4 linked regions of the Elephas maximus indicus genome follow. The protein of the gene in region 1 interacts with the protein of each later gene in a biochemical or structural test. Links are inferred from orthologs where the notes say so. Each region holds a gene or a part of one and is shown on either strand. Other genes may lie near its edges.

Region 1 (7,245 bases):
AAACTGGAACAATAATGTTGACTCCCTGGGGTGGTTGTGAGGGTGAAATGTGATAATTACCTATAAAAAAGCACTGGACAAAGTAAGAGCTCCCTAAATGTTCAGTATTAATATTGCTATTACTACTCCCTGATTGGCACTAAATCTATGTTACCGCTAGTGGAAAAGAGACTGTCTCAGGTCTTAGGCATCACACTGAATTAAAAGTTCACATACAACTCTGCATGCCTGGGGGAAAGCATTACCTAACAGAGAAGCAAAATGCTTCTTTTGATGTATAAATGAAGGTGACACACCTTTTCTACGTTTTTTGACATGCTCTCCTCATAAGAATGTGGCTATCCTCACAGTCACGAAGGAGAAGAAACATGGAGGGAAGGATGCTGGAAGTTTCTGTACTCTCTCTTCCAACACTTTATGCCCATTTCAAAAGCAACAACATTTCAGCCAGTGGCATACTCAGCTGGGTGGATTTCCAACCCTTTTTTTTTTTTTTTTTCCCCAGGTCTAGTTACCAGTTATAGTCAGATGGATAAAAGCTCCTAGCAGCTACAGTGCTGACCATGAGTTTCATTCATTCATCAGCCAACATGTATTAAATACTGTATCAGGCACCGTAGTAGGGCTGGAATAAAAATGGCATCCTCATTTGAGTTTCTAGCCCTTGAAGAAGATTGCAAGAGTGGTTTAATGAGTGGCTTGATCTCATTTATTCCATACAATTCCATCTGGCGGCTACACTTACTATCCTTACTTTGTAGATGAGGAATTTGAGGCCAGAGGTGAAATAATTTGTCCTGACTCACACAGCTAGAAAGCGGTGGGGAGTTCTGGTTTGGATTGAGCCCTGTTGGATTCCAAAGCCCTAGTTGTCCCCTGTGAATTTGAATGGAACTATTTAATGTCTGACTCCTCAGCAAAGGGTTATTCACCGTGGAAGGTCTGAGCAGAAGTCTAAGCTTTCTAGCAAAGTAAAAGATAGCTATTTGAAATAAAAGATGGTTGTTTGACTTTGTTCTTGCTGCAACTTTAAGACATGAGAGCTTTCCATGACTTTCCAAGAGTGATGAAATAAAACAAATATTTCCAACTGTCTAAGAAAAATATCTTGCTAATAAATATGACTTTTGTATTTGTATTCAAAATGTAGCTTTTTTTTCCTTACATGAGATGCTTCCGATACCTAAATTATTTGTTACTGCTAATTTCTTTGAAAATCTAACAACTTCTACCATATTAGATCCAGGCATTTCAAGGCCTAGTGGACGGTCTTCAAGGAATATTCGCAAAATCGGAGCAAACATTGGCTTTGGAGAAACAGAAAGAAATTTTATAGAGTAGAAGATCTGGGAAGTTCTCAACCAACTCCACTTCTTTCATTTCTCTGTGCATTTTACGATTCAGTTCGAAGGCCTCTAATTCACAAGTTCACTGACAACATGGAAATATAAAGACATCTATATCAAGTTCAAAACCAGAGGAATTTCCCAGCCACTACATGCTGGGAGTCACTGTGCCCGTCTATTAGATCCGGCCCATAAAGCTGTTAAAAATCTGGCACCTTTGTACGGGAATCTGTGCCATGATTCTAAGTTCTGATAAAACCCAAACCATACAGTTAGTGCAAAAAAAAAAAAAAAAAAAAAGTTCGCTTCTATGGGCTTGTCCGAGAACAAAAACTTGTCACCTTCTAGACAAAGCATGAAGCTTAGAACTTAACGCACATTTCCTGAAATGTGTCGTATCCCTCTAGCCAAAACGAAAGTAGTCTGTCCTGGCTTTTGTGCCTGCCACATCGCGGCGCAAGGAACTCCTGCTCATGCGGAGACGCTCCAGTACACACCATCCTGCAAAAGGTGACCGATGGTCTGTCACGTCAGAGAAGGCTGAGGTTGCAGGACTCAAAAGGACTGGCCTCAAACCATAGGGCGCTTTAAAGACAGGGTGTCACCTTGTGTTGCAAGATTGTGAAGCTTGTCAGAAAACTCCACTGCTTTCAGGAAGCAAATAACGGCTTATTCAGCCTGCTTGGTTCACACTCCCATGAGTTACAGTACCCAAGATTAAGAAAACAGGTCGTATGCTCCTGCTAGCCTGTGAGCAGACAAATCAAGAACTTGTAAGTTTCCGACACGCTTCCCAGATCCAGAACCTCATCACTAGAGCAGGATCCAATAAATATTCGTTATCTGGGGCGGGCGGGCAGCCTGTCAGCGCTGCGCTCGGAAAACGGTAACTGCAGCTCTCTGACTCAGCCGAATGTTACTCCAAAAGTGGATTTCCACTGTACCGAGCTTCCATTTCACATTTTTCCATGGTAGCAAGGCTTGCCAGCGACTTTGCAAAATACCCCCGGAGCATTCAGAGAAAAACGAACATCTTTTAATGTGAGAGGTAGGCTCTAAAGTTACATCACGCTTGTAAACAGTAGCAGACATAGCAAAAAAAAAAAAAAAGGAAAGAAATTGAGAAGAAAACAGAATACCTACTTGTAGAGAAGAAAGTCACTCAGACAGTGTCCTCTGATGCTATAGAAAGGGCAGGAGAAAGGAGTGGGACCCTTTCAAGCCCGGTGAGGAGCTTCTGAGCCTGGAGTCTGCATTTTCAGTTGGGGGGAGAGCCGTTCTGAGCCTGTACACAGGCTGCTACGACCATGAAATTAGGAAATGCAGCCACTCAAAAATAAAGAACTAGCACCACCATTTGACTAGGATTGGAAAATCGCCTTGGAGAAAGAGAAGAGGGGGGTGGCCGCCTTTCTCCAAGCCAGGCCTGATTCAAACTTCTTAGCTCTTTGGTTAAGACAGATCTTTAATGAGGAATAAGTAATGTGTTAATCTGCCTGAAACATATTTTTATGTAATCCAGCCTATTTCTTCTTTGTTTCTGATAAACCTTGGAGCCAAGACAAGCGTGTGTAGTTGGAAAAAAATAAGTAAATAAAGCAGGTATTCAGCACATAAAGTGTGTTAATTCAAAATTAATTACAGCGAAAACCGGGGGTGAGGACGCGTCTTGGGCGAGTTTTTTTTGGGGGGGGGGTGGTTTCCACGTTCTCATGCAGCCATTGCCTCACCAGCCGGCTCTGCACTTCTCGTCACTGATTAATTCGGTTCTTAACTTTAATAACCTGCACAGGTTTACCTTCTGCCTGGCTTTTGAGCCCCTCCTGCTGTCACATGATCTTATGTCCTAAACTGTCCGGCATTTCCGGCAACAGATTAAGGGTTTGCTTGTTATTTTTTTTCCCTCTCTCTGTCTTTTTACACTGAGATAAAATCCTGAAATCGAAAATGAGCTTTAAAAAAATCATATTGAAATTTTAAAAAATAATATTGGGATTTTAATCATTTATAGTCAGCTCGTGGTCTATGCAGCATGTAGTTTAAAGGATTTTTAAAAGTTGATTCACTTTTTCTACTTTACAAGCCTGGAGAAAGGCTGGTTTTCTGGAAATGAGAATGCCGGGGGGGAGAAAGGAGGGGCAGGAGTCCCTTGCTATTGAGCTTCCTAAAATCTCTAAATGCAAATGGCCATCTGCTGGGTAAGAGGTGAGACTCAAAACTGGCTTGGGAAAAAGAAAACCAAAACTATCATAATCACTTGATTATACGTCAATTCTATCTCAGTGAAACTGTTCAAAAAATAAAACCTTGCCTAACTCAAATCATTGTCTCTCTCTCCCTCTCTGTGTGTATGTGTTTAATAAATGGATAAATAGGATAACTGAGAAAGGAGTCAAACAGACCTTATTTGGTTTAGCTACACCCGCACTGTTAGGAACTATCTTATGCAATTCATTCACGCGCATACACACACATACAAATAACCCATCCCAGGTGATTGGCACGAGATGTGTCCCCTTGAAAACATTCTGAAATACATGTTCTTAACTGTCTTCAAGTAATCTTCTCTATACTTGTGAGGTAGACCATAGATAGAACAGCTTGAATATACAGATTTTCCTAAGATAATTTCCCTGGAACATAGAGCGTGAGACATTTTAGCTAATATGTAAAATATTTCATTTTGATTTAACAACCACAAAAGTTCAACGATTCACTAACAAAGAGTCACATTGACTAATACATTCTGGAGGTCTTATTAGATTGTATCACTTTTATTATGATTTCTGATGAAAGGTAAATAATTTAATAAATGTTTTGAACAGTTTAAACTTTTTGAAAGCAAAATATCTTTTAATTAAATCCCTCAATTATTATATTTGCCAGAATGGGTGAACTACACTTTGCAAACAGCATCTAGCTATTTGTTAAAAATCAGTGGTACACATCAGTACAGAGAAGAAAATTACTGAGAGCAACAGTTCTCAAAATAGGACATCCACTGGATTCTGAACTGAAGGTTAAGATTATTTCCTCTTTACTGGAAAATGTAAATTTAAGCATAATATAAATTATGAATTAGAGTGATTACCCTTAAAAGAACATTACTATCATTCATTTGCATTCCAATATGTGCATTCTCCAGAGAGAGAATAAAAATAATAGCAAATTGGGTGCATACTAGGGGCCAACTACTAGTCTAAGCACTTTCACAACAACCCAATGAGGTAGGTACTATCACAAACCCATTTTACAGATGAGAAAACCTTGGGATGCTGAGATTAAGTACCTGTATGAAGATTTCACAGCTGGAGCCAGGATTCAACCTCAGGTGGTTCAATTCAAGGACCCATGCTTTTAACACTCCACTATGGAATCAGAGGAGTTCCTGGGTAGAGCAAATGGTTAAGCACTTGGCTATTAACCATGAAGACTGGCAGTTCTAATCCACCCAGATGTGCCTCAGAAGAAAGGCCTGGCAACCCACTTACAAACGGTCACAGCCATTGAAAACCCCAGAGAGCACAGTTCTACTCTGACACACATGGGGTAGCCATGAGTTGAACTGTATGGCAACTGGGTTTTCTTTGGTTTGGTGGAATCAGAGCCAGCACACAGGGAATTGCAAATAGGAATATGCTATGGGAACACTCTTGCCTTGTAGATGACATGGGGCAAAAAAAGTTTGGAGGTTTATCTGTGAATGGGTAAGAATGGTTTTATCAGATAGATATAGAAAGGTTATTATGAATAATTTTAAAGTTTTCCGTTCTAATTGAATCACTAAAAATAAAAATATGTGCTTGGATTAACCTTGTTTTAAAATATTCTGTGCCTTCTTATAGAAAAAAGAAAAATTCCCTTTGAGGTAAAGTTTCTATTTAAATTGCATTTATCGCTATTAAACTGAATAATGACAAAACAATAAGAAACGAACAATTTAAAATAAGGCAGCATAATATAATATAATGGGAATAAACACAAGGCAAACTCAATCTCATAAATATAATTCAAAGAGAAGCGCCATGCACTTGTGCTTGGTTTCCTCATACACACTGAAAAACAAAGCCTGACATTTTATCGAATCATGCTATCTACTTCACCTTTATTTTTTTTAAAAAAAGAGGGCGAGGTTATCACACACATGCCTTTATGGTGTCATATTGTGTGTCAATTAACTTAGAGTAATGAAATCTATAAATTCTAGAATTTTTTCCAGCTTCCAAACTTTTTTTAAAAAATAAGTTTTCCCATTCTAGAAGACCACTAACATCCTGGTTTCCGCAAGCAAATAAAGCAGAAAATTGACGCAATCTGGGTCATTGAAGCAAAAAACTGTTGTGTTTTGGGTGATTCAGGCTAAAGTAAAAGAAAAGAAAATCACATTTTTGAATTGGAGAGTGTGTTTTTGTCAGACAACCAAGATGATAGCGGAGTTTGGGACTTAGTTACATAGTTAACTGCCCAAATTCTTCACTTGTCCTTATTAGCAAAGCTGTTTCCATTGGGTACTACTCAAAGCACTATCTCAATTCAATCACACCATAAAAGCAGCTCTGAGCTTCTAGTTTTCCTCATGAAGAGCAACCAAAATGGAAACTCTGCTTGCCTAGAGATAGCAATCAGTACCTGACCGCCCACTCGCTCACCTTTCTAAGAGAGATTGGCCGGTTGTCAGCTGCAGTTGCCAAGACAACCTAGTCAAATCCGTGTGACTCCCACCCCCCACTTCTGATCACAGCTAATTGGGCAGCGATGGGGACCTGGCCAAAGAGCAGCCTTCTATAGGCTGGCCAGTGACCTAGGACATGACCTAACATGAAAAGATGAACTTGGCCAATCACATTCGAGATCTCAGAGTATGACTTTGGAAACTTAGACTGAGCTCTTGAGCTGCAGAGACACAAACAGAAAAGATGTCTTGGAGTAGAGTGGAGGCCACAGTAAGCCTAGGCTATTATCAAGTGAATTTACAGGGTGAGGGGATTGTTGCAGAGAAAACCAGTAAGCAAAGGTTAGCAGATAGCAAGCCCTGGAGCCGTGGCTGCTTGGGAGGGTCTGGCTAGAGCTGCAGTGGCCACTGGCAGGGTTACAGCGAGTCCACTGCTTTCAGGCCAAACCAAACCAGGGGCCCTGGAGTACATTCCAGCTCGTGGCAACAGCGTGTGTGTCAGAGCAGAACAGTGCTTCACAGGATTTCCAATGGCTGATTTTTCAGGAGCAGATTGCCAGGCCTTTCTTTCAAGGCACCTCCGGGTGGACTCCAACCACTAAACTTTTGGTTAGCACCAAGGGCATTAACCATTTGCACCAGGGACTCCTTCAAATGTCCCGGTGTTTTAGTTATGTTCATGTTTTAGTTACGCTCTTCTGATTGCAAGGGACGAGGACTCTCTTGGGTACCTGGCAATAAAGGCTATGGAAGAATTTAGGTAAACTAAACACTCCTCCCAGATCCCAGGAGCTAATTTTTGTAGCAGAAGGCACACAGCCCAGCAGTCCTGTTGTCAACGTAGAGGTCCAGGATATTTGAAAATAGAGCCATAATATGACCAATACCCAGTGACTCATTACTGTTCTTTATTCAATATTGAAGCTCGAGTTGACATTTATAGGGATAAAGGTTTTATTCCTCAAAGAAAAAAAGTGCAACCTACCTTCAGGTAGTAGTGACAGATAATACAGTTAAAACTTAAACCTCATCTATAGAAAGACTTGAAAAACCTGCCTTCATAAATCACATCTCTTCTTTACATAGGAAAAGATATAAATCAAGCCACAAAAGTCCCATGTGAGGAAATTATTATTGAAAATTTCTATAAGATGAAAAAGTGGACTCTCTCACATTTATAGAAGTGACAAAGGAACCAACAAATGAGGGATACAATGATTTAAAATG
Region 2 (7,575 bases), on another chromosome or scaffold:
GAAGGCTTCGTGTGTGAGACAGCGTTTTGGCACTCCATGTAAAACTAGAAAAAGTTACTTCAACGTCTGATGCCATCAAATTCTGTCACTCCAGAGCTGGTGTTTTACTAGGGTCTGTTTCTCTCCTTTCTCTCAGGGGGAGTCTGCTCCCTCCTTGGGATGCCCCCACCACCAGACTACAAGCACCTTGTGGGCAGGACCCTGGCTGGGAAGCTCCCCAAGGTCAGGGGTACTGTTGGGTCTCCGCCCACCTTGCCTCCAGAGGCCAGTCCCCACAGACCAGCAGTACACCATGGCAGCAGGGTACTCACTCTACTTCTCCCCATTTCTTGGGCCTCCTCCTCTTCCTTCCAACCCCTCAGCTCTTGCCACAAATTTTATCACGTGCCATACCTTCTCCACCTGCCAAATTTTCTGGGAGCCTCCCAGGCACATCCCTTCAATAAAGTAAGGCTGAGTCTCTCAGGACCGCTACTCCCAGGACTCTGGGCACATTCCCATCCCAAACCTTTGGATGGATTTGGTGGACAGTACATATTTTAGTCATTTACTTGCCTTACTATCTCTGTCCACCTCATCACTTGGTGTCTTAGCCTAGTCGTTACTAGGAGACAAGGTTGTACCTCAATTAATGTGCTTGACAATGACTCCTTCCTCCTGCCCCTCTCCCCCAACTAATAGACCCTTCTGTGAAAACGTGATGGACGTGGCCAAGGACTAAACTAAAGTAGGAGCATTAATTTTATTCTTTGGATTATTTAAAAGGGAGCCATTAGAAACAGAATCTTTTGTTCCACATTTGAAAAAGTAAAAAGAGCCTCTGTTTGTTCAAATGGTAAGGAAGAAAAAATGTTAAAAGTGGAATCCTTCCTGATAATCTATGTTGGGATTCCAAAATAAACACCAAACCCAGTGCCTTCAAGTCGATTTCCACGGATTAACAGCACCTTAATTAAATATCTGGCCATCCACTAACAGAACTACTCAAAAAAGCCATCCTTTGGGGTCCATGCTGGAAACAACACCCCTTTTTGCTAAGTCTCCAGTTAATCACTTGCTCCCTTATAAAACAAAACCTATGGTAACCTCATTCAACAACTGCAAAGCTGTGCAGCCACTCAAAAGTTACCCGGTTTCAGAGGACAAGCTTGAAAGCTCAACTTTCCTGGTACGAGCTGTATCTCTACGTTTCCTAAGACTGAAAACTTTTCACTTAAATATGGCAAGGTTTTAAGCAAATAATATCTGTTCTGCAGCAAAACGGCATTTAAAATATGGTTGTTACCAAATTTTTCACTTCGGATAAATTGAGACTTGTATCCCACCGCCCCCAGTTTAACAAAATTTTAACTACACGAAAACCAACTTAAGACCGATTTTTTAAAAAATTGCTTCTCTCATTTCTACATTATTACATGCCACTTTTCATAACTAGATCCCAGGAATTGTATTAAAACTGAAGCCACAAGATTTGTTTCAACAGCAGAACTAGATTTTTGTCTACGCAAATGGACAGTCACAGAAATACTTCCACAAGTTAAACAGCTGTGTCTAGTGCAAATCTGAAGGCACTGCAGCGCGATACAATTCGATTTGGACCCATTCATTATAAATTGATTTTCAGATGCTGTTACTCAAAGCCTGCACTGGAGAAAGGCAAATACTGTATTGCGCTGGAGACCAAAATCGCTTGCAGCTGCACCCAAGTTTTTACTGCAGAATCGAGAGCTCTAAAAGAGGAAATGCCACCGGCTGGTACTGTTACCACGAACCAGCCTAGAAAACCCAGCACTGTTAAGTGAAGCAAAAACTAACATGCTTTTCTTAGGCAACTGATAGGATTACTTAAGAAAGTTTTCATGGATGCTGTTTGATGAGAAGAAAAAAAAAAAAAAAAAGACGATTTACTCCATATTCTGCCAACATTTCTGGAAGAAAGGTAATTTCTACATTTCTTCACATAATTTTTTGCACATCTACACTGTAAAACCAAGACAAGCTCAAATGGAGGCTGTGGCTCAAATGAATCTATTCACTTTCTAAGTTTTATAAGTGAGATTAAACACATCACAGCAACCTTTACAACATCTTGCTAAGGGAGTTCAGGGTTTTGAAAAATGGGATGATTAGGTGACAAGAAGAGTCTTCAAAATAACTACTAAACATTTCCCCAGGAAACATAATCCAAGAAACTTCTAAGTTGCAACTCACAAGCTGGTGGCTGCGTGCGTGTTGGGGTTGCAGGGTTGTGAATACATTACCAATTCAGAAAACACACCAAGTCACCCTCTGGCTCCGAGATTTCTTTCCGTAGCCAGAAATCGTACCTTCCCTCCCCTGTCATTCCTCTAGACAGCCACGCGTGTGTGGACACATGGCCGCAGTCGGAGGCGTGTGATGTGACCAAACAGAATGAACACACTCCACTTTACTTTTTCTCCCGGGAAGTCTCATTCCTCTGCCACGCGACGGGGGCTAGCCAACTCCAGGAAGCCCAGCGCATGCAGGACTCGGGCCGAGTGACAGTCTTCCCCCACAAACTTCCACTCTCCCTGGCGGGGGCACGGGCCGGGGGCTGCGTGGGCCCCACTTCGGGCCGCGATCCACAGTCGGGTCTCGGCGACCCCTGCCCGACAGGCGCTCGCGGGGCGATCCTCAGTCGCGGAAGCCCTCGCCTTGGGTGGGGATGACAGCCCCCGTCAGGCTCCCGCCGCCCTGGGTCCGCCCGGCCCCCTCCTCACCTGTGCTGTCATTAGCAGAAAATCCAGGCGAGCTGAGTTTGGCTCGTTTCGGATTGGGCGGTCCGTCCAGCAAGTTCTCGGCCATTTTCACCTGCTCCCGAGGAGCGCCCCAGCACGGGCTCGGGCGCGGGTCGGTGGGCGCCGGCCGGCGGCCGAGGGAGCGGGGCGGGAGCGGGCGAGGAGGCCAGAGGAGGCGCGCAGGCCGGTGGGGGAGGCGGCGGCAAATCTCAGCCTCAGCAACAGCGCCCCGCAGCGCTCACCGAGCGCCCCCGGCCGCGGCCGCCGCCGCCGCCGCCCGCGGCCCCCTCATCCCCTGCCCGCCTCCTGAGCGCGACACGCCGCGGCGGGGGTGCTCCGGCGGCCCGGCCGCCCCCCGTGCCCGGCTGGCAGCGACGGCGCCGGCCCGGCGGCTCAGACGGTCCCCGGGAACATGGTGCCGCCGCCTCCTCGGCCGCGCTCCCCCCCCCTCCGCGCCCCACTTAATGGATTCACTCGCGGACGGCGAGGAGGGGGCCGGGGGTCCGCGCCCGCCCCGGCCCGCCGCCGCCGGGAGGCAAAACAATGCGCCGAGCGGAGCCGCGCCGCCGCCGCCGCGGCCCCCCCACCCCCGTGCCGCCGCCGCCGCCGCCGCCGCCGCCGCCGCCGCCGCCACCGCCGCCGCCGCCGCCGCCGCCGCCGCCGCCGGGCTCCGGGAGGCCGGGCCGAGGGGCGAGTGGGGCCGCCGGAGCGGGCGCCGAGGGCCGGACGGAGCGGACCGGCCGGCGGAGCGGGGTGCGCGGGCGGTTGTGGGGCCCGGGACCGGCGGGGCCGAGTAGATCGCGCTCGAAGCCCCGATCGGGTCCGCGACAAGATGGCGGCTGTTGATTCCTCAATTAAAAAAAAAAGAAAGTTTTTTTTCTTCTCTTTCCAGAGCCAGAACAGGGAGGGGGAGGGGGCGGGGCACGCCTTGCGTCACTCCCAAGCGTCAGCACGCACGGCCCCGCCCCGCCCCCTCCACCTGCGCCCGCCACGGCGGAAAGAGCCGAGTGCCCCAGGCGGAAAGGGCCGAATGCGCGGCAGAGGAGCTTGTGAATGCCTAGCCCGGCCGTGGGGCCAGGGCCGGGCCTGCGGGCCACTTGGCACCTGGCTTTTGGCGGCGACTCGGGGGCGGAGGCCCGGGCGTCGGGGCCTCGTCTGGGCGGGCCGCCCCCGGGCCCCGCGGTGCCACTGGGCCCCTGCCCGCCACCCTCCCCGACGACGTCCGGAGGGGAGGGCCGGGGCGACCTGGACCCGAGGCCGGGCCACTGCCCCTCTCCGGGTGCCTGTGACGTCGAGTGTGCAGGGTCCGCCACCAAGCGTGTGCAGATGGGAAACAGGCAGGGAGGGCAAAGTAATTCATTCAAGGTCGGCGAGGCAGACAGTGGCAAGGCCTGGATTCGAAACCCTCCAGGTAAGGTGGGGGCACGTAAGACTCCGGAGTCCCGAGCCCGATGCCATGGCGGGGCTTCCAGGTGCGACACCCTTACCTGCCGGAGAAGGGTGGTGGGCGCCACCTCCACCCCGAGCCAAGCGCGCTCTGCCCGCTCCTCTAGCGGAAAAGTTCCCATTCCCTCTGGGCTCAGGGCCTCAGGAGGCACTCTAGGACACCGCCACCACCTGGCACCCTGCAGGTGCTCCAGGCAGGTGTGGGGCCTCGGGGAGACCGGCTTGCGTCGCCATCCCCTGAGGGACAGTCACCAAAACCTGAGGTGTTCACATCTCACTTCGTTATCTGCTCCTCAAAACTTGCTTATCTTAAAGACATCACCAGCTACTCTGTTTCCTAAGCCAGAAACCTGTGAATCAGTGCCGACTCCTCCCTCTTTCTCTACACACCACGCAGCCAGCCTCCCCATGTCCTTTACCTGGGGAAAATGGTCCCGCTTCGTTTTCCACTGCCCCACTGTCGTCCAGCATGGCTCGGGCAGGTACGCTACCGGGCAGCTTCCCATTTAGTATTCCCTCTGCTCTACGCCTTTCCTCACGGAGCAGCAGAGTTAGCTTTCTGAAAATAAGAAAGAAATCTTTAAAAAAAATAGCTCCTATACATAGAAAAAAAAAGATTAGAAATGCATTTGGCTATCCCAGTCCCAGTAGAGTGACTCATGGTGATATAGATATATGTTGTTGTTAGTTGGTGAAGTTCAAGTTGATTCTGACCGCTTGTGACCCCATGTGTGCAGAGTAGAACTGGTCTTAGAGTTTCCAAGTCTGTGGCCTATTGGAAGCCAATGGCCAGGCCATACTTCTGAAGTGCCTCCGGATGAGTTTGAACTGCCAGTCTTTGTGGTTAGCAGTCCAATGCTTAAGCATTCGTACCACCCAGGGGCTCCACAGATATACCAAAAGAGTGAATGTCTTTGAGTGTTGAGACTGATCTGTTTTTTTTTTTTTCCTATTTATCTTTATTGTTCAAAATCTTGTGCTGCACCTCTCACCCTCATTTTCCATCCCTCACTTCACCATCACCGCCCCACACCCCACTCTAGTCACTAGGAAGGTCTCATCAGGACCTTTCTATATACTTCTGCAAATGCTGCTCCCTATGCTGAGAACATATATACCTGGCAACACAAACTCATCCTCCAAGACCCAGTTCAAGTGTCACCTAGTCCAGGAAGTCCTTTATAGAGAGTTCATGTCTACCCAGAACCTCAGAATGTGATCTTATTTAAAATAGGTCTTCGCAGATGTGACTAGTTAAAGATCTCCAGATGGAACCATCCTGGGACTAGGATGGGGCCCTAACCCCAGTGACTGGTGTCCTTATAGAAAATAAGAGGCACAGACACACAGAGAAGCCATGTGAAGATGGAGGCAGAGATTACAGCGATGCTACCACAAGCCAAGGAACGTGTGGAGACACCAGAAGCTGGAGGAGACAAGAAACTGGAAGAGACAAGAAAGGATTCTCCCCCAGAGCCTTTGGAGGGAGTGCAGCTGTGCCGACATCTTGACTTTCAGCTTCCCGATACGTGAGAGAATGATTTCTGCTGTTTTAAGCAAGGTTGTGGCATGTGGTTAGACCAGCCACGGGAGACTAATACACCCTCCTAGACCATGGTAGGGTCTCTCACAGCACTGTCTCTCTCAGGGCATATAACCACATTGTGTCTTTTTTCCTCCCATTCATTCAAGTTTTTATTTATTCATCAAGTATCTCTTGAGAATCTACTGAGGGCATTTCCACTGCATTAATCTCCTGTGGCAAAAAATGAAGAAATCCCTGTATATTCCCTAAACATCATAAGAAGTCCCTGAGTGGTGCAAAGAGTTAATGCATTCAGCTGCTAATCAAAAGGTAGCTCTAGTCTACCCAAGGACTCCTTGGAAGAAAAGTCTGGTGATCTATTTCTGAAAAATCAGCCATTGAACCTATGGGGCACAGCTGTACTCTAACACGTGTGGGATCATCGTGAGTCAGAATTGATTCCATGGTACTTGGTTATTTTAGAAATCATAAACAGAAGTACTCAAGAAGTCACTGTAGGAGGCGGGGCCAAGATGGCAGAGTAGTCAGATGCTTCCGATGATCCCTCTTAGAACGAAGACCCGAAAAAACAAGTGAAACGATTATATAATATGACAAGCTAGGAGCTCCGAACATCAAAGGCAAAGTTAGAAAACGGACTGAATATCAGGGGGAAGGAGAGACGGTTCAGAAGCAGTGAGGAGTTGCCGGACCTGACTCATCAGGAGCCCTCAGGCACGATCCCCTGAAGTGACCACGGCGGGTCTTGCAGTAGCATTCCGGACCCGGTTTCCTCCGGGAGAGACAGTGAGCCACACAGTTTACTCACACCTCCAGAACCAGAGAAGAACGCCACTCTTAGCAAAAGCTAAGTACTTGCTTTTATTTTATCACCCCCTCCCCCGAGCCCCCAAGATGGCTTCACTGACTGTTGATTTCCCTGGGCCTGAGATAGGTCCTGCTGCACACTCTGAGCCATTCTCCTAGCCTTGGAGAAGGAATAAATTCACAATTGGGGGAAAAGATAATCTGCCAGCTCCACTAAGCTGGGGAGCTCAGGACAGAAGTGGCTGCTCTGCAGGCACAAATCGCCCACGGGCATTGAATACCTTTCACCCCTGCATGGACCTTTGTGGACCCATTTCAGGAGAATAGGCAACTGTTTCAGCTGTGTGGTACAAAGGTGGGTTTTTGACATTTGACACCATTTTGCCAATTAAACACAGTCCTCACCTACCCACATCAGGGGCCTAATGACTGGTGGCTCCACTCATATCACCTAGCCACCCGTGACAGGGGTCCAAGGATAAGTGATACCCCCCAGTCCTTACAACCAAAAGCATTGGATGCCCATGGTCCAACTGCAGAACCCACCCACCTGTGCGCTGTAGGGAACAGTCAACTGCTTTCCTCACAAACACTCAGGGAACGGTTGTCAGGCCCCTGCCTTGTTCAGAGTGTGACCCCCACCTGCAACCAGATACCTGTGCCTACATCTATCACTCTTGCCCCTCTAAGACTGTGGGACAGAGTCTGTACCACATGCTTGATGATCAACTATCTGGACACCTGAGCTGAACCCATACCAGAAAAGTGAATTGACTCCTAGGCTCATATACCTGGTAACAGCCCTAGGCATCTGGTGACAGGATGTTAGAGCTTTGAAGGCGAAAATAATCAAGCTAGCTCACTCAAGCCTCCTATTTGGGCATATCAAAACAAAACAAAGCAAGAAGCTAGGATACACTAAGCAAACAAAATTAATTAATACAGTAACTTATAGATGGCTCAGAGACAACAGTCAATATCAAATCACATAAATAAGCAGACCATGATTGCTTCAAC
Region 3 (7,558 bases), on another chromosome or scaffold:
AAATTACTTCACAACTATTCATTCTTTAGACATTTTGAAACTTATCAATTCCCAAAACAAAAAGATATTATTCATAAAGTGGAATAAAATAGCAGGATCTGACCCAGAGATTATAAAATCATTACTTGAACAGCTTGAAAATAAAGATTTACAATGAGTGCTATTGTAGAACTAGAAGCTTTATTGTTTGATTTAATACGAAAATTACGTATAGACAAAAGAGGAGAGAAAAATATAACCAATTGAAGGTTAGGTTTTAAAAAAAAAAAAAAGCCAGAATGAGCATTCACTCAATATCAACTTTAAAGACTCTTAATAATAAAGATTAATAAGGGAGAAGTGTTAAACTTGTCGCTTATTTCCCGTTTAGAAGAAAAAAAGTGAGCATAAGAGATCAGAATTTTGGTAGTATGTTTCTTTAAATGTTGGGGTTGGTTCCAGGTAAGATGCAAAGAGTTATTTTTCTATTTAGTAGGAAGTGCTGTTTTTTTAGCTGACTTTCTCATACTGTTGTTGTGTTGATTGAGTGACTGTCACTGGAAGACATCTGGGTTTTTGTATCAAGGCCAGACTTGGCTATTACATTAACAAGAAAATTAAAACTTACTGTTGCAGGAGCTGGGGTGGGAGGTGGGGCATAAGATGGTCTTTCTGTTTGAAAGAAAATAAATAACTTCTTGTAAACAACTGAGATATAACACTATGCAACAAAACTACCAATGGTCCTGTTTTGAAGAAAAAAATGAGAGTATTTTGGAATTCCCATTTGCTAGGGCATTAGTCTCTTATTAACATAGATTGATAAATATAAAAATGAAACTTACTTGACATTTTGGAAGATTTAAGTTCTCAGTTCCTTAAGAATGAATCTGAGACACTAAAATAAAAAAAAAAGAAAAAAAAAGAAAAAGAAAAAAAAAAAGAGAATCAAAACTCAGCAAGCATAAGAGAATGTTTTCCTAAAAAATAGGGTAGTTTAATTGGTATTTCAGAGTAAAATTAGTTCTCTTTATCTGCTAGTAATCAAGCCTTTTGTGTATCGTTTTTACTAGTTATTGTTGATCATTTGGTTGATCAGAGTTAAATGACTAAAGCAAATCACTAGGGACATTAAGAGTAATATTAGACATGTACCCTTAGGCTTTTTTTTTTTTTAATGACACTGAGCCACCTTTTGTATGGAAAACATTTTGCTGATGCTATGTAAACAATCTGATAAAAAGATGACAATAGAATGTGATGTATTATCTGGGCCCACCCCAACAAGGCCTAGCAGATACTGACAGCTTCCTTATCAGAGCTCTACCTTTGCTTAGGTAACAAACTTCCAATAAAATAGCACTGTATTTTATTCCTGGAGGCTGTGCAAAAGGTAATTGGTATGATAATGAGCTGTAGCATTCTCTCATAGTGGCAAATAGCTTCATAACTGCTGAGAATAAATTTTGAAAGTCTACCTGAAAAACTCTTATTCGTCCTTCAGAGCCATTTTCAAGATTTAACTCCTCAATGGAGCCTTCCAAGTAAGTTACCTGGGCAGAGTTAATTGCACCCTCCTCAGTATTCCTGGCAAATTTACATAAATCTCTGATATTGTTTATTCTATCTCACTTTTTATTTGTCAATATGACCAGATTATGTGCTGTTTGGGATTACCAGCTCACAACACAACCATATACATGTGGGCTGGTTCCTTACGTCAGTACACATCGCAAAGAGTAGAGTACAAAGAGACGAAAAGTTCATTTTTAGAAAAAAAAGGCAAATAAACTTCTATGTCTACTGGTGCACTTTCATCCAAACGTTATATTAAACAAACATGATTTTTTGGTCCTAGTTTGCATTTTAGGGGAATTCCCTAGAGTACAAGAAATAAGAGGCCTGATGTGGATGGAAATAGCTTATTCTATCAATGGCCCCTCCTGGCTCTCTCTCTTTCCTTAAAAAACAGGCAGAAACTATTGGTCCAGACTTCCCTCCTGCTCACATTCAGGGAGCTGTCAACACCCAGTAGGCCTTGTTCCGGGGAGCCCTAATGACAACTGCCACAAACTGCTTGTACATCACTTTATTGTTAATGCTTTGCAATTATTTATCTCCCCTACTAGGCTACAAATTTTAAGAGTGGGCTTGTACATTTGTTTGCCACTGGATTCAATCCCAGGGTCTGGCACGTAATACTCAGTATTTGTTGAATGAATGCCTCATAAGGGATAAGCTTATCATCTACGCTCTCCTGTTTAATAGCTACAACTACCTTACGAAACGTTCATTGCTATCCCTATTTTACAAATTAAAAAAAAAAAAAGGGACTCTTAGGGAATTTAGGTAACTTGTCAAAAGCCACACAGCCAGGAAGTACTCGAGTTGGGTTTCAAACCCAGGCCAAACTGTTTCAGAGCCTTCGCTCTTCACTCCAAGCCACACCGTAAATTACCACGTCGTTGCCTGGACCAAGAGGAACCACACTCCTGGGAGTGAGGACCAGGGGCACGGTTTGCTCCGAGAGCTTCCTGTGAAGTCGTTTCCTTTGTTTGTCGGGGAAAATGCACTTTACCAGCAACTCAACTAAAGGGGTGTATGCGTAAGTGCTCTGGTCAATTCCTGAGGGCTACTGGACAGGGCAAATGCTGCCGCTGAGGAGAACCCACAGACGGGACTCCTTACCAATCCTCACACCGCTAGGCCTCAGAGTGGACGCAACCGGCCCCACCTCTGGCTCCGCTGCCAAACCTAAACCCGGGTAACCCCTGGGAAGTCGGGGTCCAGCCAAGCGGGGACATCACAGCTCGCCACCCTCCCAACCCGGTCGGGCCCGCTCCAAAACACTCACCCGCGGGCAAGCAGAGCGCCCGCAGCTTCAGCTTCGCTTCCCTTTGTCCCGCACACGCCCCGCCCCTCGCGCGCCGAGCTTCCGTACTCGCACTTTCGACACTTCTTCGTAATTTACTTACAGACATCACCCGCTTTTCTCTACAGAAGTAAAGCTTCCATAGTGGGCTTGGTGATGTTTAGTATAATTCCTGATTTTTAAAGGCTTCACAGTTCCTCAAAAGTTCTCTAATTTGGGCACTTTCCCAGCCAGGCGCCGATTCGTCACTACGGAAAGGGCGGAGGCGGCTCGGCCGCGGGATAGGCCCGGATTTCGCTGCTGGGAGGAATCAAAGCGTCTGCAACGTCGGGTGACGCGGCGGGCGGTGCGAAGCCGTACTGAGAGGAGGCGGGGAACGTGGCTTCAGCTTAGTCGGAGGACCGCGGGAATCGCGACGGGGCGTGAGGCTCCGGAACCACCCGGCTGGGCTCAGGTAGCGCTCACTCCATAGGCTCTTCTTTTCTCTTGCTTCTTCGGCTAGAGTATATACTTACGCAAGCCGAGGATGGAGCCGGAGAGGACTCTGTTGACTGAGTTTTACGTCCTCACAGGCATTCTCGGGTCTTCCTGCCATAACGTCCGGGCATTAGCCTTGACGAAAAAGCGCTGCCTCTCATTTCCACGGAGTTTTTCAGTTTTCGTTTTCAAGCGCTTTTATGGTGTAATTGCTAGTTTTCTGAGACAAGACCCAGAGATGTTAAGCCCTTTGACGCAGCGCGCGGGGTGCCACTGGTCTCTGTGCCAAAGCGTGCCTTGGCTCATTTGGTTCCCTCCGCAGGGAACGACTGCCCCTCACTTCAGCTTAAACTCATTTGTTCTTCTCAATTCAGCTCAAATGGCTGTTCCTCATGCCGTCCTGGGCTCTCCCTCCAATAATCCTTCCTCTCTACTCCCATGGCACTTTGATAACTTCTTTACTGTAGTCCTGTACTCAGCCCATTGTATCAGGTTGTGTTTGTCAACTTCGATGCATTATGAGGGCCTTGAAAATAAAGATTCAGCCTTCTGTTTCGATCGTCTTTGTATTACCAGTGCAATATTGCTTGATCCGTTATTAAAAGCCGTTACTTTCGAGTTGATTCTGACTCTTAGCGACCCTATAGGACAGAGTAGAACTGCCCTGTAGAGTTTCCAAGGAGCGCCTGGTAGATCTGACCGCCGACCTCCTGGTTAGCGGCCGTAGCACTTAACCACTATGCCACCAGTGTTTCTGATCCGTTATTAGGTGCATAATAAATGTGTTTTGAAGCGGATTTATTAACTAGTCCTGGGCTTTTCCCACAAAATCATAATCACGAGTAAGTAGGTTTACCATGTGGAGTGAGCGGCCCCTTCCTTGGATATGTAAACACCTAGCTGATGTTGTGGGTCACTTTGGAGGAAGAAGGAACAAATGAGATCCCTAACTTGTTATTACTATGCTGACAACTAAATGACAATAGTGTTGACATTTAGAGTGACTGAATTTTTGGGCTGCTCTTCGGCCGTCCTGGGTGTGCCAGTAGGGAATGGGGTATCTCTACAAGGAGGCAAAGTCAATATTTTTGTACTCGTGAATGGGGATTAATGAAATTGAAGAGCATATTGATGGGAAAGATTAAAGGAAAGATTGCCAAAGGATAACAGGCAGTTCGAGTGGTGGTTAAAATAATGTACATGAAATTGTTGTTTTAATATAAAAGTATCAGAAACATGTAAAGGATTAATGTGAAATACAGGAAGGCCTCCTCAGGGATCCCGTACCTCTTTGGCTTTGTCAAGCAACTCTAGCCTGATTTCTGCACTGCCTTTAGGGTTATGGTTGGGGGGCGGGGGATTGGTCAAGTGTGTGCAAGGACACGTGGTCTATTGTGTCATCTCCAGGCAGTCCTCTGAAGAAAAACCACAGGTACAAGATATTAGGAAAACCACACTGTAATGGGAGAGTTGTGGCACAAAAATGATGAAAAGGGAAAGGTGAAGCAGTGACATTGACTGGTATGGTTTCTTACCTCCTTCTAGTCTTTATTCAGTCTGCCAACTTCTCAGAAGGTCTTTCCTGACCTATTTAAAATTGCAACTTGTAGAACAAAATAGGAGGACTCACACTTCCTGATTTTAAAACTTACTACAAAGCTACAATAATCAAAATGATGTGGTACTGGCTCAAGGGTAGACATATAGACCAATGGAATAGAGTTGAAAGTCTAAAAATAAACTCATGCATCCATGACCAAATGATTTTTGACAGAGTGCAAGTCTGTTTTTCAATGAAAAAAGAATAATCTCCTCAACAAATGGATTTCCACAAGCAAAAGAATAAAGTTGGACCCCTGCCGCTTACCATATTCAAAAATTAACTCAAAAAGGGATCAACGTCCAAATTGTGAGTGCTAAAACCATAGAACTCTTAGAAGAAACATAGGGGTAAATCTTCAAGACCTTGTATTTGACAGCGAATTCTTAGATATGATAACAAAAGCATGAGCTATAAAAGAGTAAAGTAGAAGAATAGATAAGTTGGACTTGATCAAGATAAAAAAACTTTTGCACATCCAAAGACATCAAGAAGATACTACGCATCAATAAAGAACAGTGAGGAATCTGTGAAACATTTCATAACATGGAGGAACCTGGAAGGCATTATGCTGAGTAAAATTAGTCAGTTGCAAAGGGACAAATATTGTATAAGACCACTGTTATAAGAACTTGAGAAGTAGTTTAAACTGAGAAGAAAACATTCTTTTGTGGTTACAAGAGGGGGAGGGAGGGAGGGTGGGAGAGGTGCATTCACCGATTAGATAGTAGATAAGAACTACTTTAGGTGAAGGGAAAGACAGCACACAATACAGGGGAGGTCAGCACAATCAGGCTAAACCAAAAGCAAAGAAGTTTCCTGAATAAACTGAATGCTTCGAAGGCCAGCGTAGCAGGGGCAGGGGTCTGGGGACTATGGTTTCAGGGGACATCTAAGTCAATTGGCATAATAAAACCTATTAAGAAAACATTCTGCATCCCAGTTTGAAGAGTGGCGTCTGGGGTCTTAAACACTAGCAAGCAGCCATATAAGATGCATCAATTGGTCTCAACCCACCTGGATCAAAGGAGAATGAAGAACACCAAGGACACAAGGCCATTACAAGCCCAAGAGACAGAAAGGGCCACATGAACCAGAGACTACATCAGCCTGAGACCAGAAGAACTAGATGGTGCCTGGCTACAACCGATGACTTCCCTGACAGGGAACACAACAGAGAACCCCTGAGGGAGCAGGAGAGCAGTGGGATGCAGACCCCAAATTCTCATAAGATCAGACTTAATGGTCTGACTGAGACTAGAAGGACCCCGGTGGTCATGGCCCCCAGACCTTCTGTTGGCCCAGGACAGGAACCATTCCCGAAGCCAACTCTTCAGACATGGATTGGACTGGACAATGGGTTGGAGAGGGATGCTGGTGAGGAGACAGCTTCTTGGATCAGGTGGACACTTGAGACTATGTTGGCATCTCCTGCCTGGAGGGGAGATGAGAGGGTGGAGGGGGTTAGAAGCTGGTGAAATGGACACGAAAAGAGAGAGCGGAGGGAGAGAGCAGGCTGTCTTATTGGGGGAGAGTAATTGGGAGTGTGTAGCAAGGCATATATGTGTTTTTGTGTAAGAGACTGACTTGATCTGTAAACTTTCGCTTAAAGCACAATAAAAATTAGAAAAAGACATCAAGAAAGTGAGAAGACAACCTATAGAATGGGAAACATTTGGAAATCATATATCTGATAAGGGTTTAATGTTCAGAATATATAAGCAATTACAACTCAACAGTAAAAGGACAAACAGTCCAATGAAAAAATGAGCAAAGGACTTGAACAGATATTTCACCAACAACCAACGAAGATATAAGTGGCCAATAACCACATGAAAAGATGCTTAACATCATTAGTCATTAGGGAATTGCAAATCAAAACCACAATGAGGTATACTACTTCATATCCACTACGATGGCTCTTATTTAAAAAAATCAGAAAATGTCAAGTGTCGATAAGGTTGTGGAGAAATTGGAACACTTGTTCGTGGCTGGTTCTTGTGTTATTGTCAGGTGCTATCCAGTCAGTTCCAACTCATAGTGACCCTGTGTACAACAGAAAGACACACTGCTTGGTCCTGTGCCATCGTCATAATCATTGTTATGCTTGAGCCCATCCATTGCTGGTGGGAATGTAAAAAGCAGTCCCTGTGGAAAATAATTTGGCAGGTCTTCCAAAAGTTAAACATAGAACTACCATGTAACCCAGCAATTCCATTCCTAGGTATTTACCCAAAAGAATTGAAAGCAGCTACTCAAACAGGTACAGGTACATCAGTACTCATTGCAGCATTATTCACAGTAGCCAAAAGGTAGAAACAACCCAAGTGTGCATCAACATGTGAATGGATAAACAAAATGTGGTATATCCATACAGTGGAACATAGTTCATCCATAAAAAGGAATGAAGCGCTGATACGTGGATGAACCTTGAAAACATCATGCTTGGTGAAATAAACCAAAGGACACCAAAGGACAAATATTATATATGATTCTACTTAAATATCTAAAATAGGCAAATTAATAGAGACAGAAAGTAGATCAGAAGGGGTGGGAGAAGGGAGAGTTATTATTTCTTAAAGGGTATGGAGTTTCTGTTTGGGGTGATGAAAAAGTTTTTGAAATAGATG
Region 4 (7,701 bases), on another chromosome or scaffold:
GACAGGCGGCAGGCGGAGGGGCCTGCCTGACGGGTCGCGCACCGTCACCTGGAAGCAGAGCCGCACAGCATTCAGGTCGTAGTCCCCACGCTGCTCCTCTATGGGGACTGCAAGAGAGCCAGATGGACAGGCGGTCAGGAGAGTGGGGGCAGGGGCACAGGCAGGGAGCGCTGGGCTGGGAAGGCTGATTGAGAACATGGGAAACAATAGACGGCATCCTCAAAAAGGAAAAAGACAAGATTCTAGACCCATCACAGACTCCACCTATGACCCTGGACGTCGTGTCCTGTCTGGGACTGTTTCCTCAGTGGTAAGTGGGAGTCTGTACTGAATGAGAATCCTGTCTGTGCTGTGATTCTTGGTCAATGAGGAAGACACAGGAAAGGTGGCCTCAGGAGGGTGACAGAGATGAGGGTGTACCAGGCAGGCCAGGCCTTCGCCCCCCAACCTCTCACCTTGGAAGGGGTTGTTGTTGGTCTGGATGCGCTGACTGATGGCCTGCTCCAGGTCCCGCTTCTTTACACACTGGATCCCCAGGTTCTGGAAGCTGAGGCCTCCGGGCGTCAGTATGCTGTCTCCAGCAGAGCCTGGGCCCTCCTGCCTTGCCCAATTTGCCCTTCCTCCCTCCCTCTCCATCCCCTATCATCGCCCTCTGCTTAACCATCCCAGTGGCTCCCCACTGGGCTGCAATGAAACCCCGATTCCTGACCCTGGCTGAGAAGCGCTGGATGACCAGGCCCTTGCCAGCTTCCTCCAGCCCCATGGGCTTTTTTTCTGCTCCTAAGCAGCTGATTTTTTTTAAGACGCTAAACTCATTCCCAGTTCTGAGCCTTTGTATTTGTTCTTTCCGCTTGGAACATCCTTTCCCTGCTTCTCTATTTCTCACCATAGAAGTCGTAGCTGAGCAAGGGCTTCCCGGAGCTTCCAATCCAAAGCAATGACCCCCTGCCCTGGGTTATTCTCCTAATCTACTGTTGTTATGTTGTCGTATGCCGTCGAATTGATTCCGACTCCTAGTGACCATACAGAACAGAGTAGAACTACCTCATGGGGTTTTCTAGGCTGTACATCTTTACGGGGGCAGATTGCCAGGTTTTTCTCCCATGGAGCGGCTGGTAGGTTCAAACCACACACCATTCAGTTGGCAGTTGAGCGCTTAACCATTGCACCACCAGGGCGCCTTCCTATCTACTAGCCGGTTTTATTTTCATCACTGAAATGATTACACTCCACCATTCTCTCATTTACTTTCCCGTATATTTACTTGGCCCAGCACTGTGAGGTAGTCAGCTCCAAGGGAGACTGCTGGCTTGGTTTTCTTTCTTGGCACAAGAGATGGGGCACTGACGGACTCACCGTTCCAACCACAGTGCAGGGGTCCAGAGGTGATTAAGGCCCCATCCCTGCCCCAAGGAGCTCACATCTGCTAGAGAGGGGGGTCCATGAACAGATCGTTCCAAGACTAGGGAAGTCTGTTTGTAAAGCTGGGCCCAGGACAAGGGGTGAGGAACTCTGCCCTGTGGCCAGAAAGGAGTAACACTGTAACAGCTTGTGACTGCCCTGCCTCCTGTCCCGCAGCCCACCCCAGGCCTGTGGGGGGCTCACACGTGGATGCAGCTGCCCTGCCTCCTGTGCCTAGCCCCACCTCCTGTCCTGCCAGCCCACCCTGGGCCTGTGGGGAGCTCACCTGTGGATACAGCGGTCTGGGCAGAGCTCAGCCTCATAGAAGCCATCTCGACAGTCCTTCCCCACGAGCTCATGTGGGTGAGGCCGGTGAGGGGGGTCCTTGGTGACGAGGGAGATGCGAACTGTCCCTGGCCCTGTGTAGCCATTGATCTGTCCAAAGTACAGAGAACACCCTAGAGGCCCAAGAATTCCAAAGCCGACTCCCAGACACAGAGGGCATAGTGACCTGGAGGCAAGCCTGCCAGGGCTCAACAGGCCACTCCCCCACCACTCCATACCCCCAGCCTACCCCTGAGAGCTGGTGACGCAGTGCTGACCTTAATGGTGGGGTGGGTCTTGGTGGTATCGGTGCTCCTCTCGCCTGGGATGCTGCCCGCTGAGCGGCCCTCGCACTTGTAGCGGAAACGCATGCCCCGCTGCTTGGGCTGCTCGATGATCTCCACATAGGGGCCGGTGGCCTGGGCCGGCTCTGCAGGGGACATGGTGAGCCCTTATTAGCGGCTGCCCCACTGCCCCAGCTGTGGGGAGATCCACCCGAGCCACTGACGGAGGACAGTCCACTTACCCGAAGGGAAGATGAGAGGGAACAGATCTGGAAGACGAGGGGGCCAAGAGTCAGCATAAGCCACTGTCCATCCTCTGGACCCCATCCCCGCCAAGAGAATATGGAGCCAAGCGCCCACCAAAGGAAACTAAATCAGGGCCTGCTCCTCAAACCTGCAGTGAAGCTAAGGGGTGGGGTAACGGAGCCAGAAACACCTGTTTCCTACGGGAAAACTGGATCTGGTGTCCTTCCTCCCTTTACTTAGGGAAACTGAGTCAGGACCCTCTCTAGTTTCATAAAGAGAGCTGAGGGAGGTTTCTCCCCATCTCCTATGCTGAGGAGAAATCGACTCAGGCACACGTTCCCCTAACAGGGAAACAAAGTTAGAGTTACCCCCATGGACCACGGAGGGAAACTGAGTCAGGGTCTGACTCGCACCCCCACCCAGGGAGGAAACTGAGTCAAGGTCCCCTTCCACCCCGAGGGGAAACTGAGTCAGACCCCTCGCCGCCTGCCCCGCCCCGCGCCACCATCCGGCTCGGCCGCTCCCTGCGCAGCACCCGCCAGCGCAGGAAGGGGCGGAAGGCGTGCGAGGGCTCCCGCCACGGCCTCGGTGGCCCCGCGCGGCCACCCCCCGGGATCCGAGAGCGCCCTCACCTTCCATGGCCGGGGTCCCGGGGGCGGGGCCGGGGTCGCAGCTGGGCCCGCAGCGCGCGCTACAGCCGAGCCATTCGCCAGAGGCGGAAATGCGCCGCGCGCGCCCGACACCGCGTCACTGCCCGGAACCCGGCTGCGCCTGCGCGCTGCGCCGCCGCCGCCGGGAGCGAGTGCGCGCTGCTGGGGGCCCAGGAGGCCTCGCGCGCCGCTGGGGCCGGGAACGAGCGCGCGCCGCGCACGGACGAGAAGGCCGTCCGCCTAGAGCTGCTCCCGGCGCTGCGCGGCGGCTCCGCTCGCTCCCGAGGTCCGGCCCCGCCTGGAGGCGGGCCCGGCGATTACTCACAATATTTTTAGGGGATTTCGGGGCCCCCTCCCGCCGATCGGAGGAGTTGGTGATGTCACCCAGGTCCCGTCTGGAGCGAAGCCAGGGCCGCTGGGCTGCGGCCGCCCGCCCGCGCCGGGGAAGGCCCGGGCTGGCGGCGCCCGAGAGGGCCGGGCGGCTGCACTCGACCCGGGTTTTGTCATCATCGGTAAAGGTGCCTTTTGATGGTAGTTGCTTCAGAAGCTCTTGTTAATATCCTGTTCACCTCAGTCAGATGCCGTTGGGGGGCAAGAGAGCGCCCTGGCCCCACATCTGACAGTGGAGCTTCGCGGAGCTTGCCGCAAAGAGGGGTGGCCGAGGCTCAGGCCCGCGTCCCTGACGCCGGCGGGCCGGGTCGAGTGAGACCAGGGCTCGGAACCTCTCCGCTAAAGGGCTGGTTTGGGATGCAGCCGGACTGAAGCAGTGGGTGGCAAGGGACGCTCAGGGGTACAGTTGTGATCCTCGTCTGGATGGCAGGGCGCCTGCGTCTTGCAAGGATCCGCTCGAACCCACGGGGACACGTCCCCCGCCCGACCCCCCCCCCCAGGGTCTCCAGCTAACGTCCAGCCACAGCCATCGGTGGGGCGCTTCCATTCATTAACCGCGGCGTCTAGAGACGCCTCGGCGCCGGTATCGCCCCCAAGCCCAAGGCGTATGCGTGCCGGGTGGGGGTAACGGACTGGAGCTGGGCAACCCCTTACCCCAGACTGCCTCTTTCTAGAATGATGGTCCGTGGTGGGGTGCGGAGTCTTCTCCACATGGAGAGAGTTTTGTTTTCTTGGAATTCGTTTTAAATTAAGAAATCATTTGGGAATTGGAAAAGACTGGAAATTCTGATTAGCTTTCCCAGGCTCTGAAAAAACAGGAAGAGAAAAGTGAAAACAAGTTACCATCCCTCCCACTCATTTCAGTTTCTCCTGGGGACCTAGTTAGAAAAGTCTACTCACTTTTTTGGAGGAAGCTGACTTCAAGTCGAAAGAATGGATTATTGAAAATCTTTGCAAAATGATGTACAACCATGATTAGTCCATACATGATCCTCTTTTATATATATTAACTTCCTTGAGACAAATTGTGTTTCCTGGATCTGTGGGTTGATGTTTTTCGTGAGTTGTGAAAAATTCTTATCCATTTTCTGTTACTGTATTATCTCTCCTCCATGCTTTTCATATGCTTTCTGGAACTCATGGATAAAATGATTAGATAGGCCACAGAAAAAAATGTTTACAACACATATCTGACAAAATACCTCTATCCAGGATATATAAAGGTCTGCTACAAATCAACAATAAAAAGATAATCCAATAAAATATACAAAAAAACTTTAACATAAACTTCACAAAGGAAGATACACAGTGAAACCTGTGAGAGCCAGAACTTGACGAGACTGTCTCGTTTTTCCAGATCTGGCAAGCTTTCCTCCTTTGCCCGGGTGCAGTCTTACCACTTTTCTATCACTTGTTTTAGTGGAAAATATTTGAGTTTTCCTTCTCTGACAGGTTTTTGCCTTACACAGGTTCCAGCTTTCACAGGTTTTACTGTACAAATAAGTGGTCAGTAAAGGAGTCCCTGGGTGGCACAATAAGCTCTCTGCTACTAACCAAAAGGTTGTTGGCTCCAACCAGCTCATGCCTCAGAAGAAAGCTCTGACAATCTTCCAAAAGGTCACAGCTTTGAAAACCCTGTGGAGTGGAGCTCTACCATACACACATGAAGTCAGTATGAGTCAGAATTGACTCAATGGCAAGTGGCTTTTTTTTTTTTTAACATGTGTAAAGTATTCATCAATAGTCACTAAGGAAATACAGATTGAAACTATAATGAGAAGCCACTTCATAGAACTAGAATAAAAAAGACTAAAGCACCAAAGGATGAAGAGGATGTGGAGCAACTGGAACTCTTACAGGTGAAAGCATAAATGGTGCAAACTCTGGGGAACTGTTTGGCACTGTCTTGTAAAGTTAAATCTCTGTTCACCCTATGGCTCAGCAATTTCTCAAGATAAATTAAAAAAAAATGTGTCCACAAAAGTACAAAGATGCTTATAACTTTTTTCACAATATGAAAAAGGTGTAAATTACCTAAATGTCCATCAACAAGAGAGTGGATAAACACATTGTGGTATAGACGTGCAATGGACTACACTCAGTTATTGTACCTTGCATCTCCTCCCACTGGAAAAGAAGCACAATGTCTGGTAGATTTTTGGGGACTTAGTGCCAGCACATACCGTGGAAATTCTGATCTGACCCATTTACTGAGCAACTTGAAGGCTGTCAGATTTGAATAGGGCCCAGAGCAAGAGAAAGCTCTACAACATGTTCTGGCGACATACAAGAATCCCCGCCACGTGGGCCTTGTGACTCAACAGATGCCATAGTGCTAGAGGTATCTGTGCAAGATAAAGATGCCATGTGGAGTCTCTGACAAGCACTGGTAATAGAGTTGTAACTCAAAGGTGATCTGCAGGAGAGAACTATTCTCGCGTCAAAAAGCAGCTTCTAGGAGGTGGGGCCAAGGTGGCAGAGTAGCCAGATGCTTCCAGTGATCCCTGTTACAACAAAGACCTGAAAAAACAAGTGAGATGATTATACTTATGACAAGCTAGGAGCCCTGAACAACAAGGCAAAGTTAGAAAACAGACTGAGTGGCAGGGGATGGAGAGACAGTTCAGAAGTGGAGAGGAGTTGCCAGACCTGAATTGCCAGGATCCACCAGGCACCATTCCCGGGAACAACTGCTGTGGGCTGGCGGTAGCCTTTGGCCACGGTTTCCTCAGGGAGAAACAGCCAGCTGCACAGCCTACTCACACCTCTGGAACCAGAGAAGAATGGCGCTCTTGGCAAAAACTAAGTACTTGTGTGTATTTTACTGTGCTCCAAGCCCCCTTCAGTGGCTGTCGATTTCCCTGGGCCTGAGATAGGTCCTGCTGAGTGCTCCGAGCCATTCTCTTGGCCTTGGAGAAGGAATAAATTCACACTTGAGGGAAAAGATAATTTGTCAGCTGCACTAACCTGAGGAGCTCAGGACAGAAGTGGCTCCTGCCCAGGCATAAATGGTCCATGGATTTTGAATACCTTTCACCCCTGCATGGACCTGTGTGGGCCTATTTCAGGAGAATAGACCCTTGTTGGCAGACTGCAACTGTTTCAGCTGTGCAGGGGAGAGGGGTCTGTTTGATGTTTGACCCAGTTTTGCCTATTAAACAGGGTCCTCACCTACCCACATCAGGGGCATAAGGACTGATGCCTCCACTCAGGTCACCCAGCCATCCATGACAGGGGTCCAAGGACAACTGGTACCTCCCAGTCCTTACAACCAAAACACCGGGTGCCTGTGGTCCATCTGCAGAATCCACCCACCTGTGCACCGTAGGGAACAGGGGTGTGTTTTCCTCACAGACACTCGGGGGGTGGTTCTCGCCCTCTGCCTTGTTCAGAGTGTGACCCCCCCTGCTGCAACCAGATACTGGTACCTATACCAATCACCTCTGCACTCTAAGACTGTAAGAGAGAGCCTGTACCACACACTTGATGACCAACTACCTGGACACCTGAGCTGAATTCATTCAAAAAAAGTGAATGGATTCCTAGGCTGATATACTTGATAACAGCTCTAGCCACTTGGTAACAGGACATTAGAGCTTAAAAGATGAAAATAATCAAGCTAGCTCACTCAAGCAACCTATTTGGGCATATCAAAAAAAAAAAAAAAAGCAAGAACTAGGATACAGTAAGCAAACATAACTTACATAATACATAATAAAATAACTTACGGATGGCTTGGAGACAAAAGTAAATATCAAATCACATAAAGAAGCAGACCATGATCACTTCAACAAGCTCTCAAAACAAAGAATCAGGGGATCTTCTGGATGTAGGTGCCTTCCTGGAATTGCCAGATGAGGAATACAAAAGATTAATATACAGAACTCCTCAAGACATCACGAGCGAGATTAGGAAGGAGATCAGGCAATATGCAGAACAAGTCAAGGAACACACAGATTAAGCAGTTGAAGAAATTAAAAAGGTTATTCAAGAATATAATGAAAAATTTAATAAGCTGCAAGAATCCATAGGGAGAGAGCAATCAGAAATTCAGAAGATTAGCAATAAAATTACAGAATTAGACAACTCAATAGAAGGTCAGAGGAGCAGAATTGAGCAAGTGGAAGGCAGAGCTGGTGAGATTGAAGATAAAGCACTTGGCACCAATATATTTGAAGAAAAATTAGATAAAAGAATTAAAAAAAAAAAATGAAGAAACCCTAAGAATCATGTCAGACTCTATCAAGAGAAATAACCTACGAGTACCAGAACAGGGAGTGACAAAAGAAAATACAGAGAGAATTGTTGGCAGAAAACTTCCCTGATACCATGAAAGATGAGAAGATATCTATCCAAAATGCTCATTAACCTCCACATAAGGTAGATTTTAAAAGAAAGTCACCAAG

What was found.
Region 2: the proteins of ESR1 (region 1) and CREBBP form a complex in vitro, tested with the Homo sapiens proteins (2 studies listed by BioGRID). The link is inferred for Elephas maximus indicus from reciprocal best matches to the Homo sapiens genes ESR1 and CREBBP.
Region 3: the proteins of ESR1 (region 1) and SMARCE1 form a complex in vitro, tested with the Homo sapiens proteins (3 studies listed by BioGRID). The link is inferred for Elephas maximus indicus from reciprocal best matches to the Homo sapiens genes ESR1 and SMARCE1.
Region 4: the proteins of ESR1 (region 1) and RELA form a complex in vitro, tested with the Homo sapiens proteins (3 studies listed by BioGRID and IntAct). The link is inferred for Elephas maximus indicus from reciprocal best matches to the Homo sapiens genes ESR1 and RELA.

The regions. Positions count from the first base shown.
Region 1 is NC_064819.1:223,110,044-223,117,288, reverse strand, and holds the start of ESR1 (estrogen receptor), read right to left. Parts: upstream 3,006-7,245; 5' UTR 2,490-3,005; intron 1-2,489.
Region 2 is NC_064830.1:61,817,207-61,824,781, forward strand, and holds the start of CREBBP (CREB-binding protein), read right to left. Parts: upstream 3,012-7,575; 5' UTR 2,827-3,011; coding exon 2,742-2,826; intron 1-2,741. Other genes in the region: uncharacterized protein LOC126087487, read left to right, coding at 3,592-4,170. UniProt on the Homo sapiens protein: Acetylates histones, giving a specific tag for transcriptional activation. Mediates acetylation of histone H3 at 'Lys-18' and 'Lys-27' (H3K18ac and H3K27ac, respectively).
Region 3 is NC_064837.1:47,751,767-47,759,324, forward strand, and holds the start of SMARCE1 (SWI/SNF-related matrix-associated actin-dependent regulator of chromatin subfamily E member 1), read right to left. Parts: upstream 3,016-7,558; 5' UTR 2,961-3,015; coding exon 2,834-2,960; intron 878-2,833; exon of another isoform or gene 832-877; coding exon of another isoform or gene 825-831; intron 652-824; coding exon 608-651; intron 1-607. UniProt on the Homo sapiens protein: Involved in transcriptional activation and repression of select genes by chromatin remodeling (alteration of DNA-nucleosome topology).
Region 4 is NC_064825.1:128,815,169-128,822,869, forward strand, and holds the start of RELA (transcription factor p65), read right to left. Parts: upstream 3,016-7,701; 5' UTR 2,895-3,015; coding exon 2,888-2,894; intron 2,279-2,887; coding exon 2,252-2,278; intron 2,156-2,251; coding exon 2,004-2,155; intron 1,837-2,003; coding exon 1,688-1,836; intron 548-1,687; coding exon 456-547; intron 108-455; coding exon 1-107. UniProt on the Homo sapiens protein: NF-kappa-B is a pleiotropic transcription factor present in almost all cell types and is the endpoint of a series of signal transduction events that are initiated by a vast array of stimuli related to many biological processes such as inflammation, immunity, differentiation, cell growth, tumorigenesis and apoptosis.